Macaca fascicularis: one gene and its partners. The protein of the gene in region 2 interacts with the protein of the main gene of each other region in a biochemical or structural test. Links are inferred from orthologs where the notes say so. Each region holds a gene or a part of one and is shown on either strand. Other genes may lie near its edges.

Evidence for each region.
Region 1: the proteins of AKT1 (region 2) and NF2 form a complex in vitro, tested with the Homo sapiens proteins (2 studies listed by BioGRID, with this or other methods). The link is inferred for Macaca fascicularis from reciprocal best matches to the Homo sapiens genes AKT1 and NF2.
Region 3: the proteins of AKT1 (region 2) and FOXO4 form a complex in vitro, tested with the Homo sapiens proteins (2 studies listed by BioGRID, with this or other methods). The link is inferred for Macaca fascicularis from reciprocal best matches to the Homo sapiens genes AKT1 and FOXO4.
Region 4: of the proteins of AKT1 (region 2) and FOXO1, one has a biochemical effect on the other in vitro, tested with the Homo sapiens proteins (4 studies listed by BioGRID). The link is inferred for Macaca fascicularis from reciprocal best matches to the Homo sapiens genes AKT1 and FOXO1.

Annotation. Positions count from the first base shown.
Region 1 is NC_088384.1:22,072,995-22,077,009, reverse strand, and holds the start of NF2 (merlin), read left to right. Parts: upstream 1-1,215; 5' UTR 1,216-1,598; coding exon 1,599-1,712; intron 1,713-4,015. UniProt on the Homo sapiens protein: Probable regulator of the Hippo/SWH (Sav/Wts/Hpo) signaling pathway, a signaling pathway that plays a pivotal role in tumor suppression by restricting proliferation and promoting apoptosis.
Region 2 is NC_088381.1:172,969,169-172,972,668, reverse strand, and holds part of AKT1 (RAC-alpha serine/threonine-protein kinase), read left to right. Parts: intron 1-1,330; coding exon 1,331-1,442; intron 1,443-2,223; coding exon 2,224-2,371; intron 2,372-2,828; coding exon 2,829-2,960; intron 2,961-3,032; coding exon 3,033-3,098; intron 3,099-3,500. UniProt on the Homo sapiens protein: AKT1 is one of 3 closely related serine/threonine-protein kinases (AKT1, AKT2 and AKT3) called the AKT kinase, and which regulate many processes including metabolism, proliferation, cell survival, growth and angiogenesis.
Region 3 is NC_088395.1:77,796,391-77,800,551, reverse strand, and holds the start of FOXO4 (forkhead box protein O4), read right to left. Parts: upstream 2,801-4,161; 5' UTR 2,123-2,800; coding exon 1,670-2,122; intron 1-1,669. UniProt on the Homo sapiens protein: Transcription factor involved in the regulation of the insulin signaling pathway. Binds to insulin-response elements (IREs) and can activate transcription of IGFBP1.
Region 4 is NC_088391.1:20,066,354-20,070,403, forward strand, and holds the start of FOXO1 (forkhead box protein O1), read right to left. Parts: upstream 2,801-4,050; 5' UTR 2,368-2,800; coding exon 1,738-2,367; intron 1,501-1,737; exon of another isoform or gene 1-1,500. UniProt on the Homo sapiens protein: Transcription factor that is the main target of insulin signaling and regulates metabolic homeostasis in response to oxidative stress.

The DNA.
Region 1 (4,015 bases), on a different chromosome or scaffold from region 2:
CTACTAAGAGCTATTTTAAAATAGAATTTATCTAGGTACAGTAAGGTATAATTATCCCCCTACACCCGTTATAACCCTTGATGACACTAAATAAATAATACACGAATATGGTTCAAAAATGGGCATCGTAGAGTATAAAATGAAGAATGCTTTCATTTTCCACCCAAATTCAGCAATTTCATAGGATGCCAGGCTCCATTCTAAAGCCTTGTATGTATTCAGTGCGCTGAAATTCAACAACCTCACGAGGTAGGTATAACCATTAATATTAATTCTAGGCGGGGCGTGGTGGCTCACGCCTGTAATCCCAGCACTTCGGGAGGCCGAGGCGGGCGGATCACCTGAGGTGGGTAGTTCGAGACCAACCTGACGAACATGGAGAAACCCCGTCTCTACTAAAAATACAAAATTAGCCGGGCGTGGTGGCGCATGCCTGTTATCCCAGCTACTCGGGAGGCTGGCGCAGGAAAACCCGGGAGGCGGAGGTTGCAGTGAGCCGAGATCGCGCCATTGCACTCCAGCCTGGGCAACAACAACGAAACTCCGTCCCCCACCACTCCCCCCCAAAACATAATGATTCTAAAGGGAAGCAGAGGGATCTGGCGGAAAAGTGCCAGCAAATCTAACAGGCCTCCACAAGAGTCTTGAAAGTTTGAGAAGCTTAGGGGTCGCTATATGTGATTAACTGTCAAACAAGAATATTCGCCGGGTGTCCGAAACGCGATCCCCTGGGGCGCCACACTCGGAGCCTACTTGAACCCAAAGAGTCCCTCCCTGGGCCAACGAGGGACCCAATTCCCGCGCCCGGCATCCAGCCTCTACGTGGTTTCCTAGGAAAGGATAGCGGAGGTCCGCCGCCTCAACCAGTCTTGTTAGAGTGGCACAAAAGCGTTCGGAGTGACTGCCACTGTAGCCACTCAACGCCGAGCCCAGGCCTGCTTTTTTTGCGGTTAGAGTGAAACTTTCCATTGGTGGAGTCACCCCGAAGGAGGCGGGACGGAGGGGGAAAGTCCTGCCTACCTTGGTCTTCCCAGCCAATCGCAGCATCCAGGTCGCAGAACCCAGGCGGTAGCCTCCGGTTCGGTTGCGCTGTGCGTAGTGGTCTGGGAGACCTGAGGGCGGGGCCGGGAGCAGGCCCCGGACTGCGGGGAGGGTACGCTTCCCGCGGGCGCGCGGAGTGAGGACGGTGACAGCCACGCGCGCGCATACGCGCCCGACTGCAGCGCGGCCCCGCGACCCTAGTCGGCAGCTGAGAGGCGCGCAGAATCTGGGCCGCTGCCGTCTAGGGTTCCCGTCCCGAGGCGTCCCCGGCATCTCCGGCCTGAATCCCGGAGTGCCAGGTCGCGCCTGCACCGACGGTCCCGACTCCCGTGCCCTCCCAGGAGCCGTCAGGGCCCGCCCCTCAACTCCCCTTTCCGCCCGGGCAGGGTCCTCGCGGCCCATGCTGGCCGCTGGGGACCCGCGCAGCCCAGACCGTTCCCGGGCCGGCCAGCCGGCCACCATGGTGGCCCTGAGGCCTGTGCAGCAACTCCAGGGGGGCTAAAGGGCTCAGAGTGCAGGCCTTGGGGCGCGAGGGTCCCAGGCCTGAGCCCCGAGCCATGGCTGGGGCCATCGCTTCCCGCATGAGCTTCAGCTCTCTCAAGAGGAAGCAACCCAAGACGTTCACCGTGCGGATCGTCACCATGGACGCCGAGATGGAGTTCAATTGCGAGGTAACCGGCCGGCAGCCCCGACTGCTGCGGTGACAGTCGAGGTGGAAACTCGAGAGGTTCTCTTTATATCATCTTAATGGGTGTAGCTAGAGACGGGCAGAACCGGAAGGGGCCAACTAGGCCCAAAACCTCATGTTAAAGATGATTGCTGCTTTTTTTCATAGGGCTTTTGGGTTTTAGCATTTCCTGAAGGTTATTTTCATTCATTGTTATTGGAAGAAGCTGGATGCTCCTGTGATAGAAAATTCCGGATTTCAGTGTCAGGCTTAAGTTAGGCTTACGCTTAAACGCTTGAAAGTTCTTTCATTAGGTAATATTGTTATGTACCCAGGTATTAGAAGTTGCGTCTTGTTTATTGGAAAGCCAATACTTGTTTTCCTTTTCTAAAGCCTACATATTCTGGAAAAAAACCCTTTGAAGAACGATATAATATCTCATACTTACTTTCCACATAGTTTCCAACATGATGATTAACAGCTATCAATTGTTCAGTATTTTCAAAGTGCCAGACATTTGCACATTTAATCCTCAGAACAAACCCATTTATCTAGTAAATGGCAAGGTGGGGTTTTGAACTAAGCTCACAGCCAGTACAGTACTGCTTCTCAAGTAATTTAAGTTCTTGCTACTAAAGGTGTGGTTTGTGGACCAGCAGCATTGGCAGCAGTAACCAAGGGTTGGCAAGCTTTTTCTGTACAGGACCACATAGTAAATATTTTCAACTTTGTAGACTAGAGAATCTCTGTTGGAGCTATTCAGCTCTTCAGCTCTGTCATTGTAACACAAAAGCAGCCTTAGATAAGATCAGCTTCCAGCTTGACAGCTTAAGGAACCCATTCCTCTGTAAAACTGGTGAAAATTCTTTTTTGTTTTGTTTCATTTTGAGACAGAGTCTCACTCTGCCACCCAGGCTGGCATGCAGTAGTGTGATCATGGCTCACTGCAACCCCCACCGACCTCTGTGGCTCAATCAGTCCTCCTGCCTTGGCCTCCTGAGTAACTGGGACCACAGGTGTGTGCACCACACCTGGCTAATTTTTTTTTTTTTTTGAGACGTCTCGCTCTGTCACCCAGAGTGCACCGGGCTGGAGTGCAATGGCGCGATCTCGGCTCACTGCCAACTCCACCTCCCAGGTTCAAGCAGTTCTCTTGCTTCAGCCTTCCAGGTAGCTGGGATTACAGGCATGTGCCATCACGTCTGGCTAATTTTTCTATTTTTAGTAGAGACAGGGTTTCAACATATTGGGCAGGCTGATCTCGAACTCCTGACCTCATGACCAGCCCACCTGGGCCTCCCAAAGTGGTGGGAAAGTGGTGCTATTACAGGTGTGAGCCACCGCGCCCAGCCTCACCTAGCTAATTTTTGTAGAGACAAGGATTTTGCCATGTTGCCTAGGCTGATCTTGAACTCCTGACCTAAAGCAATCCGCTGGCCTTGGACTCCCAAAGTGATGGGATTACAGACGGAGCCACCATGTCTGGCCCAAAAATTCTTTTTTTAAAATCAACTATTTAAACCCTCCGGCAATGGTCCTGAGGGCAAACAACAAATGAAACACCTATTCAAGAAAATCTACAAATTCGGTAAGAAAGATGAGAGGATATGGTATTTGAACCAAGATCATTCCCTCCTTACCCACTCCTAGCTTAGTGAGGTAGAGCTTCTACTCCAGACTATTGCAAACTGAAACACGGGGCACCGCTCCCTCAGCTCCCAAATCAAATGCTTTCTTCCCAGGAAAAGCTGGACATCAGCATTTCTTATCATACCCAGAGCTACTTGTTGCTGAGGTTAAAACCTGTGTGAGTGCAATTGAAAGTTGGAGCTCCCTTTTTTTTTTCTTTTGAGACGGAGTTTTGCTCTTGTTGCCCAGGCTGGAGCGCAATGGTACGATCTCGCCTCACCGCAACCTCCGCCTCCCAGGTTCAAGCGATTCTCCCACCTTAGCCTCCCGAGTAGCTGGGATTGTAGGCTTGCCCCACCACGTCTGGCTGATTTTGTGTTTTTAGTAGAGATGGGTTTCTCCATGTTGGTCAGGCTGGTCTTGAACTCCTGACCTCAGGTGATCTGCCTGCCTCGGCCTCCCAAAGTGTTGGGATTACAGGCGTGAGCCACCGTGCTTGGCTAAAGTTGGAGCTCCCTTCTTCCACCTAGTCCCTACTTGTGGAACAGGATTGTACCTTGGGCATGGCATACTGAAACTACTGGCGCCCCAATTGCTCATCCACCAGTTCTAGCAGGCTGAGCCTCAGGTTGTTGCGGTCCCCTGCCTCCTTCCACCAAGTGCTCAGTTTCTAGAGTG
Region 2 (3,500 bases):
CTGGCCTGTGTTGACACAGGCCACCCTCCCCACCAGGCTGGTCCCGAGCCCCCTCCTGGCCCCCAGGCCTGGAAGACAGCTCCCTCGCTGCCTGGCCAGGCCCCCTTGTGGTTGCCAGGGCCTCGATGCTGGAATGTCAGAGGCCCCCTACTGGCCCCTCAGCCCCCTCCTGCTTTGCACAGGCTGGGCCAGAGCCTGCCAAGGAGCCCCAGCGGCTACACACTGCACTCACTCACACCTCTCAGGGCCCCGCACGTTCCCACAGCCCTCAGGGTGTATGTGCAGTAGGAATGGCTGTGCCCCACGTATGTGTTCCCCAGGTGTGTGTGCGCTCCAGGTGTGTGTGTGCCCCAGGTGTGGCTGTGCACCAGATGTGGCTGTGCCCCAGGTGTGTGTGTGCCCCAGATGTGGCTGTGCCCCGAGTGTGGGTGTGCCCCGGGTGTGGGTGTGTTCCAGGTGTGGGTGTACCCCTGGTGTGACTGTGTGCCCCAGGTGTGGCTGTGTTCCGAGTGTGGCTGTGCCCCACATGTGGGTGTGCCCCGGGTGTGACTGTGCCCCAGATGTGGGTGTGCCCTGGGTGTGACTGTTCTGGGTGTGGCTGTGCCCCACATATGTGTGTGCCCCGGGTGTGGGTGTGCTCCAGGTGTGGGTGTGCCCCAGATGTGGGTGTGCCCTGGGTGTGGGTGTGCACCAGGTTTGGGTGTGCACCAGGTGTGGGTGTGCACCAGGTATGGTGTGCCCCAGGTGTGGCTGTGCCCCAGGTGTGGCTGTGCCCCGGGTGTGACTGTGCACCAGGTGTGGTGTGCCCCGGGTGTGGTGTGCCCCAGGTGTGGCTGTGCACCAGGTGTGGCTGTGCCCCCAGGTGTGCGTGTGCCCCCAGGTGTATTTCCCAGGTACTCAGGGTGAGATTGGGAAAATAGCAGGACATTTCTACACTAGGTGGGACAAGCTGCTTTCTGGGGTGGCCCCCTCATGCCAGCCCCTCTGTGGGATCTCCATATCCCTCATCCTCTGAGACCTGGTGCACGGTGGGGCTCAGTGACTGAAGGAAGGGGACTGTAGGAGGGGACGATGCGGGGGGGTTGACCTGACCTTGGGCCAGATGCCCTTTGGGGCTGCCTCAACCTGGAATAGAGTGTCTGAGCTGGAATGGGGGTCCTAGCCCCACTCTATGAGGCGAGAAACTGAGGCTTGGAGAGAGGAGGAGGTGGGGCTTCCTAGGACTTGTGGGTGGTATGCAAGGGGAGCTGGCTGGTGCGGTGGGGACTGTGGTGAGGGCCCTGGGAGGGGCAGGGGGATGCATGCAGACAGAGGCTCTGCTTGCCCACAGAGTGCCAGCTGATGAAGACGGAGCGGCCCCGGCCCAACACCTTCATCATCCGCTGCCTGCAGTGGACCACTGTCATCGAACGCACCTTCCACGTGGAGACTCCCGAGGAGCGGTACGTGGGCTGCGGCGGCCAGGCCGGGCACTTGGGCAGCCCTAGCGCTTAGGAGGGACATGGGGATGGCGGGTGCTGGGCGCCTCTGCCTATAGCCATCCTTACTCCCCAGTGATCCCAGGCCCTCCCCAGAGCCCGGTTTGGAAACTGGCCCAGTCCTGTGGGGTTGGGTGGGGAAACTGAGGCTGGAGATAAAAACTGTCTAGGGACCGGGCACAGTGGCTGACATCTATAATCTTGGCATTTTGGGAGGCTGAGATGGGCAGATCACTTGAGACCAGGAGTTCAAGACCGGCCTGGCCAACATGGTGAAACCCCCGCCTCTACTAAAAATATAAAACTTAGCTGGGTGTGGTGGTGCACACCTGTGATCCCAGCTACTTGGGAGGCTGAGGCACAAGAATTGCTTGAACCCAAGAGGCGGAGGCCGCAGTGAGCCGAGATTGTACCAGTGCACTCCAGCCTGGGTGATAGAGCAAGCCTGGGGGGCGGAGTCCTGCTGTGGGCCTGGGTCCTGCTGGGGGTTGGAGTTTGCCTGTGGGGACAGAGCCCTGCTGGGGGCTTGAACCCTACTTGGGGGCTAAGCCTGCGTGTCCCTCAGGTCCAGAAGGGCTTTCTGACCCTGAGTGTGTGTGGCCAGCCCAGGTCAAGGGGTGGCCTCCTCAGGGCTGTCTCTGGGGACCCCGCTTGTGAGGCTGGAGGGTGGGTGTAAGCTGTGGGGTGGAGCTCCTGACCTCATGGGGTGAGGTGCAGGGCTACAGCCTCACCTGACCTCCTGCAGGGAGGAGTGGACAACCGCCATCCAGACAGTGGCCGATGGCCTCAAGAAGCACGAGGAGGAGATGATGGACTTCCGGTCGGGCTCACCCAGCGACAACTCAGGGGCTGAAGAGATGGAGGTGTCCCTGGCCAAACCCAAGCACCGTGTGGTAAGGCCTGTCCCCCTTTCTGCCTATGCCTGGGGCTACCTTGGGCTGTGGAGAGCTGGGTGGGTCATGGGGTCCCAGCTTGGCCCAGGAGACACTCAGCACTCCACAGCATCCCCATCTAGGCCGGTTTTCCATGTGGGGCGCAGCTGCTTCCCAGGTGGGTCCTCTTCCCTATGTCAGAGAAATAGTGGGGCTGCTGAGCCCTGCCAGGCTTGGGCAGTGTTACCCCACCCTTCCCCGAACCCCACGCTCTGAGCTAGGGCTGCACCGTGTGTTCCCTGTAAGTCCGGACTCCCCGCTGAGCCCCGCAGGCCACCAGGTGTGAAGCGGTCGCCTCTCCTGGCTCCGCCTCCAAGTCTGCCAAGGGTGACTCTGGGGCCCCCATGCCACCTGACACATGCCGACCAGCTGGGCACTGTGGGCAGCGCCCCCCGCTGACCCTGGTGCCTGCCCACAGACCATGAACGAGTTTGAGTACCTGAAGCTGCTGGGCAAGGGCACTTTCGGGAAGGTGATCCTGGTGAAGGAGAAGGCAACGGGCCGCTACTATGCCATGAAGATCCTCAAGAAGGAGGTCATCGTGGCCAAGGTGGGGCCGGGGTGGTGGGGCAGGGTGGAGACGAGGATGCTGGGCGGCAGCTCACCCAGCCCTGCCTTACAGGACGAGGTGGCCCACACACTCACCGAGAACCGTGTTCTGCAGAACTCCAGGCACCCCTTCCTCACGGTGAGTGGGAGCCCAGATGGGGCTGAAGGGCTGGGGTCAGGTGGCGACTCCTGGGGCTGTCTCTAGGGAACGATGTCCTGTCTTCTTGGGCACGTGAGGACTTTACGCACTGCGGATTCTGCCGCTGGTGACAGGCCTGCCCCGGAGGGTCAGGCTGTGGAGGTGCCCGATGTGGGCTGGGGGCTGTGCTCGCCGCTCCTGTGTGCAGGCAGGTGGGGCAGGTGGCCCTGGTCGTCTTTGCACTCTGCCGAGGCTCCGGGAGGCCCCAGCTCCCCATGCCCTGCAGCCCTGCCTGCCAGGCTTCTGTTGAGGCCCGGGCTCTGTCCTGGGGAGCCCGTTGTGGGGACTCGACCCAGGAGGTATTTACTGTGAAGGGGGCCAGACTCCAGCCACGTGGTTAGT
Region 3 (4,161 bases), on a different chromosome or scaffold from region 2:
TTTCCCAAAAGCCCATAACTCTTACATGTTGGAGGGCAGGGTGGTAGGGGTGACTGCTAATTGCTCCCCAAACCACCTAATCTAAACTTTCTTGTTCTAAGTGAGTGCCGCCCCCTGGTGGGGTGGGAGTAACCTTGGCATATCATCAGGGAGGCCAGTTCAGGCATGAGACTTCCCTCAGAGGGGGGCGGGGGCCGGGGGCGGGGGCCGGGGGCGGGGGTGGGCCTTGAAGTCCCAGGCTCAGCCTGATTTGATTTTGCCATCATTCCAATTAGAGCAAGCCAGGCTCTTCTTAGAGAGTATGATTTATAGTTAGACCTGAGTTCAAGTCCTCACCCTGCTGTTATTAGGTGAGTTTCCTAACCTTTCGGTACGTAGTTTCCTAATGCGTAAAATGTGGAATCTCAGAATTGCTGTAAAGATTAATAAAATAAAAAATTTAAAAACTACTTTGTAAACTCTAAAGCCCCACATAAGTGTAGATTATAAGGACGGACGATACTCCCACAATATAACTAACAACTTGTTATTTCCTCTACACTGGAAAATGAACCTAAGGGAAAAGAAAAACAGCTGTGTAGGCTGGGTCCAAGGAGTTGAGCTTTTTATGAGCTGAGACTGTGGCGTGGCAGTCTACCCAGAAATAGTGCCAAGGGTCTCAGTCAGCTGTCCTGTCTTCTGTTCTGCCCAGCCCCTAGGGACGGCACAGATCTGATCCCTCAGTCTCCTATACCTAGGGGAAGTTCCTCTGCTCATCCAACCCTCTGTACTTGGTTATATGCTGACCTCACCACCTACAGAGGTACAAGCCAGCAATAGGGCTTGAAGCTCCCCAATTTTGTGATTAGAGCCCCATATTTCTCAGGACAAGTTTTTCAGAGTATCTTTTGAGATCTTCCCTCACAGTTTCTTCACGGAAGGCCAAGGGAACTCCCAACTTCATGCTCTAAAGTCAGAGCCCTACCTCCTCTTTATGACTAATATTCCTTAACAGTAAAGGATGACTTCCCCCCAAAACTTGGATAGCCCCTTACAAGGGAGAGTTTCTTGGCAGCACAGGGTAAACTGAGACAGGTGGCAGCTCACAGCCCTTTCTCTTCTTAGTGCATAAGATCAGCTACCTTTCCCCATGAATATTATTGTTTTCACCCTTTGCCACTGCACTCCCTCCTCCCAGGTAGAGCAGTGCTAGAACAGTACCACTACACTGAGGTATTGGGAGGCAAGCAGGGAATCCAAGTAATCCCACAGGAATGGGAGAAAAGGTGTTGGGGTGGGAGGTGGGGGAGGAGGGAAGGGTAGGTTCATGTGGAGAATCCACACAGTTCCTGCTGTACATAGGATAAAGACTTCTCTGTGGGAATAAGTGTTTGGGGCAGCCCAAGCCAAAGTGCTGCGAGTGTTGAGCAGTGAGCAGAGAATTCGATTTTCTCCAGGGCAGGGACAGTGTCTTATTCATCTGTGATCCTTCAGCATCAAGCACCGAGTGTGGCATATACTATGTACTAAGTAAATGTTTGTCTAACTGGAGATTGAAGGTGGATCTCTGGGCTTCCCAAAGGGGGTGGGGGTGGGAGGTAGTAAAAGGGGCCCCAGAGTAGAAGTAAGGGAGGCTAGGGAATCCAGGGGCTAGATGGTGTTGGGAAGAAGGTAAGAGGGTCATAATTACCTTCCATCCTGCTGAGCTGTTGCTGTCACCCTTGTCCTTGAAGTAGGGTACAGTACGGACCATCCACTCGTAGATCTGGGCAAGTGTCAGTCGCTTCTCCGGGGCGCTTTCAATGGCCTGGCTGATGAGTTCTGCATATGACTGATTTCCCCAGGCATTCCGGCGGGAGCCTCCCTTCCGAGGACCTGTTACAGCCCCCAGGATTCCGGGCTGGGGGCCCCCGGCCGGCTCTGGGAGCCGGGAGGGCAACAGGATCGGCTCTGAGCGCCCCTCCGTGTGTACCTTTTCCCCCAGACCTGGCTCCACCTCGGGCGTCTCGGACGGCTGGTTAGCGATCTCAGGTCGGGGAAGGGGCCAGGTGCAGGAGCGGGGACGGCTCTGGGGTTCGAAGTCGGGATCGAGGTCTATGACCGCGGCAGCCTCTGTGGCTGAATTCTCATTCCCCGGATCCATACGTGGAGTTGGACCTCCCCGGCTCAGCGTTCAGTGAAGCCTGCCACAGTCCCTCACGATGCCTCCCCTCAGGGGGGAAGCATCGAGGGCCAGGAGGCACATTCCTGCCAGTCCTCAGAAAGTCGCGAACTTCCCCCTAGTCCCAGGACGCTAGTCCCTAAGCTGTCCCTTCACACAGTTCTCCGATCCCCTTCGCGACTACAGCCTGCAGCCTCAGAGCTCTTTCCGAGATGCCACCTGTAACCTCTGCCGAGCGAAAACACTTTTTCTGCAACCTCTCACTTAGCTTCCTGCTCTTTTAAACCTGAGGCACGGTATCCCCTCATACATTGCGCTCCCATCACCGAACGTCTCCTTAGCCGCAGTTCCCTCCCCCTTTTAAGTTGCTGCCCCCCGGACACTCCTCCCAAATTTCCTCCACCCGGATTGCTGCCCTCCCCCACGCCCCGCTCCCCCGCGTCACTTGCCCCTCCCCTGACTCCCCCTTCCCCCGCCTCTTCCCTTCTCGCCACTCTTAATCGGGTCCGGGTCCCCGCGGCTGCGGCCTCCCTAATTCCCGCACCGATTCCCCTATCAACCCCCCCCACCCCCCGCCCCCCGGGTTTCCCTTTTGTTTTGCTCCAAGCAGCAGCCCCCTCCTGACGTCTCTGTTTACCACTCGCCGGGGCAGCCATCTGCGCACGCGCCTCGAAAGCCAGTCGGGAAACCGAGTTCTTCAGTCGTGCCACCCTGGTCACTCTTGAGGACTACATCTCCCGTCCTGCTTCGCGGCCAGGAGCCCGATACGGCGGCAGGAGAGCGGCGTGGCAGGATATAACGAGGTGGAACTTTAATTATTAGAAGTCGTCGTGGACTCTTTCTTTTCTTAAGAATCGTTTTTCGCCCTTTCCCCCTTTCCATCGTCTCCCTTGTGATTCGGAGTCGCCTAGGTGACCAGATTGAGAGGTGCTAGCCCTTTCCCTCCTTCATTTAGGAGAAGGCAAAAGGGAAAAAAATCTTCTCTTCAAGAAGCAGGAGGCCAAGAAGCAAGAAGCAAGGAACTGACTAGAACATAGGATGTATGCACGTTGGAGAGTTGGGTGGAGGGGCTTGTGTAACATAAACAAATGGTTAGCCCACGGTGGTGTTCCCCCTCACCCCCTTCCTCCTCCCTCCACCCGCCTTCATCCCCCCATATGCAGTTCCCACCTACAGTGAGGTCTTACTTACCAATCAGTTTCCTCCACTGGCTCTTCTGGCCTTCCCTTCAACACTGATATTCTCCAGGTTCACATCTCCAACGGCTTCACTTTCATTCAACAGGTCCCAAACTCATTATCTATTCCTGCACCCATACCCCTATCCTCTGGCTACCCTTATCTCTGAATTTGGCTTATGGTAGTCCTGATCTACCCAGTCTCCCAAGCTAGACTTACCCGTTACCTCTTCATCTCCGTAACTTTCTACATCCAAATCCCAGTTCAAGACCTATTTATAACTGCATTTAAATTGTAGGATCAGCTGGGTGCAGTGGCTTACGCCTGTAATACCAGCACTTTGGGAGGTCGAGGCAGGCGGATCACTTGAGGTCTGGAGTTCAAGACCAGCCTGGCCAACGTGGTGAAACCGATCTCTGCTAAAAATAGAAAAATTAGCCTGGTGTGGGGCATGCGCCTGTAGTCCCAGCTACTTAGGAGGCTGAGGTGGGAGAGTCGCCCAAGAGGTGGAGGTTACAGTGAGCCAAGATCATGCCACTGTGCTCCAGCCTGGGTGACAGAATAACACCCTGTCAAAAAAAAAAAAAAAAAAAAAAAAAGGTGCAGTATTGGATCTCCTTCCATCAGTCTTTTCCTCACTACAGTTTATATTCAGAGCTGCCAACAAGGTTACCGTTCTAAGAAACATGTCTGGTAATTATGGATAAAATTTATGGAGCCCTTATTATGTGCCAGTCTTTGTGCAAATTGCTTTACGAACATTAGTTCATTTACTCCTCATTTACTCCTCAATTCAACCCCATGAAGTAGGTACAACTATTATCCCCATTTTATAGATGCAGA
Region 4 (4,050 bases), on a different chromosome or scaffold from region 2:
ACAGGGATGACACTGTATGTAAAATAACCTTGGTGTTAACAACTGCGCAGCTAAGACCAATCTTTTATTATGCTGTGGAGTCAATATGAGAGGCAAGGAAAGGTTTGTTTAAAAAGATGTTTAGCTCGGCCGGGCGCAGGGGCTCACGCCTGTAATCCCAGCACTTTGGGAGGCCGAGGCGGGCGGATCACGAGGTCAGGAGATCCAGAACATCCTGGCCAACACGGTGAAACTCCGTCTCTACTAAAAACACCAAAATTAGCTGGGCGTGGTGGCTCTTGCCTGTAATCCCAGCTAGTCGGGAGGCTGAGGCAGGAGAATCGCTTCAACCAGAGAGTCGGAAGTTGCAATGAACCGAGATCGCGCCACGGTACTCCAGCCTGGCGACAGAACGAGACTCCGTCTCAGAGCGGGGATGAAAAAAAAAAAAAAAAAAGGTGTTTAGCTCAACTAGACAGCCTTTACAGCAATTCCGCCACCGGTGACAGTGAGAAACTGTCAGCTTGGGGAGGCCGCGCGGCGACTGGACCCCGCCCCCGGGAAGCCTCCCCGGGGCCGAGGCCACCCCCCCGCCCCGGGCCTTCTCCTCGGAGTCGGGAAATACCTGCCCCCACGCTAAGTCTCTACTGGCCACTCTCTATAAGGCAAAAATGGCAAAAATCCTCCTTTGAGGCATCGCTCCCTCGACGCCCATCGCCACTCCGACTCCCTCAAAAAATTGGTCGCAAAGCCCCCCGCCTGGTCCCTCATCTGGACCTCCATTCTCAAGAACAGGGTGGCAAGGCAGGAAAAGACGCACACTTCCCAGCCCCCGGCCCCCCAGGGCAGCCTCTGTGTTTCTCAATAAAAGCCTCCTACCAGGGGCAAGACCAAGTTCGGGCGCTTCCCCTCGTGGAGAAACGCTGGCCCCACGGCTCCCGGCCCGGACGCGCTGGCCCTTTAAAGGCGCGGGCTTCCTGCGCCCGGGGCCCCTCCCACGCCATCGCCACCGCCCGCGCCCGCCCCCGCCGAGGGTCACACTTGAACTTTAGCTCGCCCAGCGCAGCCAGGCGCCGGCGCTCCGCAGGCGGTGGCCGCCCCTTCGCACGTGTCGGAGGCACCACCTCGGGCTCGGGACGCCCGGCCCCCGGCACTCGAGGCCACTCCAGAGAAAACCAAAACAAAGCAAAATGCGCACCGCCTCCAGAAACTGCCCGGCTGGCCCTGCACCGTCCACGGCCGGTCGCGCCCTGCCTGTCCCCTCCACCTGCAGCCCGGTCCCGGGACAGGGAGAGTCCGGGGCCCCTCGCCGCGCCCTCCCCCGCCGCGCCCGGCGGAAACAGCTCCGCAGCGCGGCCGGAGAGGACCTGCCCTCCCCCCGCGGAGGTCCGGGAGGGAAGGGGCAGTCGAAGCAGTCAGCGCGGGCCGGGGGAGTGCCCCTCCCAGCGAACCCGTTTCTCCTTTCACTGGCAAACTTTTCGGCCGCTGATATCCACTTCTTGGCGCACTTTCTTTACTTAGTTCCTCGACGAGCCCCTTTTCGCGTCCCACGCGAACTCTTGACTGGCGCGCGCGCACACCTACTGCCGTCCCCGACCGGACCTGGGCGAGGTCACCGCGACCACCGCTTCTCGCCCGCCCTCCTGGGAACGCGCTGCCCTCCTGGCCCGCACCTTCAGGCCGAGCAAACCTGCACAGCTGCGCCCTCGCCTGACCCACCGCGCCCCCAAGGTCCGGCCGCGCGCCGAGACCGCTCACCTTCCAGCCCGCCGAGCTGTTGCTGTCACCCTTATCCTTGAAGTAGGGCACGCTCTTGACCATCCACTCGTAGATCTGCGACAGCGTCAGCCGCTTCTCCGCCGAGCTCTCGATGGCCTTGGTGATGAGGTCAGCGTAGGACAGGTTGCCCCACGCGTTGCGGCGGGACGAGCTGCTCTTGCGCGGCTGCCCCGCGAGAGGCCCAGCGCCAGCGGGGGGCACTGGCGGGTGCTGCGACAGCGGCCCGGGCGGCGGGGGCTGCGGCGGCGCTGGGTGCAGGCAGCCCGCCTCCGGGCCTTGGAAGTCCCCGCACAGTCCCCCGGTGGCGGCCGCGGCGGCCGCCGCCGCCACCGCCGCCGCCACGGAGCCGGGTGCTTGCGGAAAGTCCTCGCTCTCCTCCAGCAAGCTCAGGTTGCTCATGAAGTCGGCGCTGACAGCGGCAGCCGAGGCCGAGGGCAGGCCCGCCGCGGCGTCGGGGTTGGCAGCCGCGCCGCCCGACGGCGCCGGGCTGGAGGTGGCCGAGTTGGACTGGCTAAACTCCGGCCTGGGCAGCGGCCAGGTGCACGAGCGCGGCCGGGGCAGCGGCTCGAAGTCCGGGTCGATCTCCACCACCTGAGGCGCTTCGGCCATGGTGACCCCCGCCCCTCCCCCAGCCGCGGGAGAGCCAAGAAGGGGAGAACGCAGCACGGGGGCCGGAGGGGGAGGGGGCGCGAAGAGACGGTCCGAGATTTGGGGGAACGAAGCCGGTGCGGCGAGCGGACGGAAACTGGGAGGAAAGCGCGGCGGAGTGCAAGCGCGAGCCCAGAACTTAACTTCGCCGGGCCATCCACATCGAGGCTCCTCAGGGTCCGCCGCACGGACTGGACGGCTGGCCAGAGCCGCCGGGCCGGGGCAGAGCCTGCGCCGCGCTCCAGCTGACAGGGCCGCGGACGGAAGGACAGACGGATGCCGCGGGCCGCTCGCTCTCCCCGGCTGCGCGCCCGCTGCGCTGCTGCCTGTTGAATGTGGCGGCGGCAGCAGCGGCTGCTGCGACTACTAGGCCGCCCGACTTACGGGATCTGCCGCCGCTCCCCGCCCGCGCCGGCGCGCGCGCCGGCCCGCCCCTGACCGACAGCCCGCGCGGCCAATGGGCATGCGGCACCGCCGCCTGGGCAGCCAGTGGGCGCCGGGCTGGGCGGGGCCCGGTTTTCCACGGGGAGGCGGCGGTGGGCTGGTGGGGGGTAGTAGGGTGTTTTTCTCTTTCACACACTCATCTCCTTTTTTTTTTTTTTTTTTGGATCTCTATTATTTTCTGGTAATTCTCGAGTGTTTCTGTGATTCTCTCGCCTTCTCAGTGTTTTGATTGCTAGGAAGCAAAGCAGCGTGGAGGCGGCGGCGACACTTTGTTTACTACGGAGGAGCAGAGCCGAGTACTCTGGAAGCCCGGGTGGGAGGAGGCGCTCGCTGCGCCTTGACCTCTGCTGCGGGCCCAGCCCGGCGGGCGGACAGGGCAGGGGGCCGGGGACCCGGGGCGCGGGGTGGGTGGGTGGAGGCGGCCGCGCGGAATTCTACTCAATCGTTCCCTCCTGGCTCCACCCACGATGTCTTTGCTAAACGACGTGGGGAATCGGTGGATTTTGTTTTGGTTTAGTGTTTTCTTTCGCTGCGATCTGTCAAGTCCTCCGGCCCGCTCACGGGCTGCACACGACCACCGCCCCTGGCGCCGCGGGTCCTGCAGTCGAGTCCGCGCTGAGAGACCCTTCTCCGCGCCCGGTGCCCACCTGTCCGCACCCCCAGGCTCAACCTGTGCCATTCGGTCTAGCCAGAGGCGCGTCACCCAGCCGGGCAGCCCCCAACCGGATTCACTGTATTCTTGATCTTTTTTAAAAGGCTAGAAATGAGGAACAGGGGCCCCGGCGCGAGGAGGAGATTCTCCCGCCTCCCCGCACACACGGATCCAAAGGCACCCGCGACCGCATGCCCTCCGTGGGAACCTCTTCCCCTGGGCGGGAATCTCCCGCTTCGTCCACTGAGTCCAGGGCCGGCAGCGAAGGGCTCAGGAGCGCAGTTAGCGAGAACCAGGTCACTTTATTACTTACCCCTAATTAAATTTAACTGTTTGTTATTTCTTTTTTATTTACAACGGAAGTGATCGGGTGTTAAGTTAAAACGCAAGGGCGGGGGATAGGACCAAAGCCTTGGGGCGCAGCCTGCCCCATCCCCAAGTTCCTTGAGGCTACTTGCTGTGTGCGTCAACCAACCCCCCACCCACACCCCACCTTTCCTCGTCTGAGCTGCAGGTCCAGGACATCCTGTCGAGGATCAGTGGGGCCA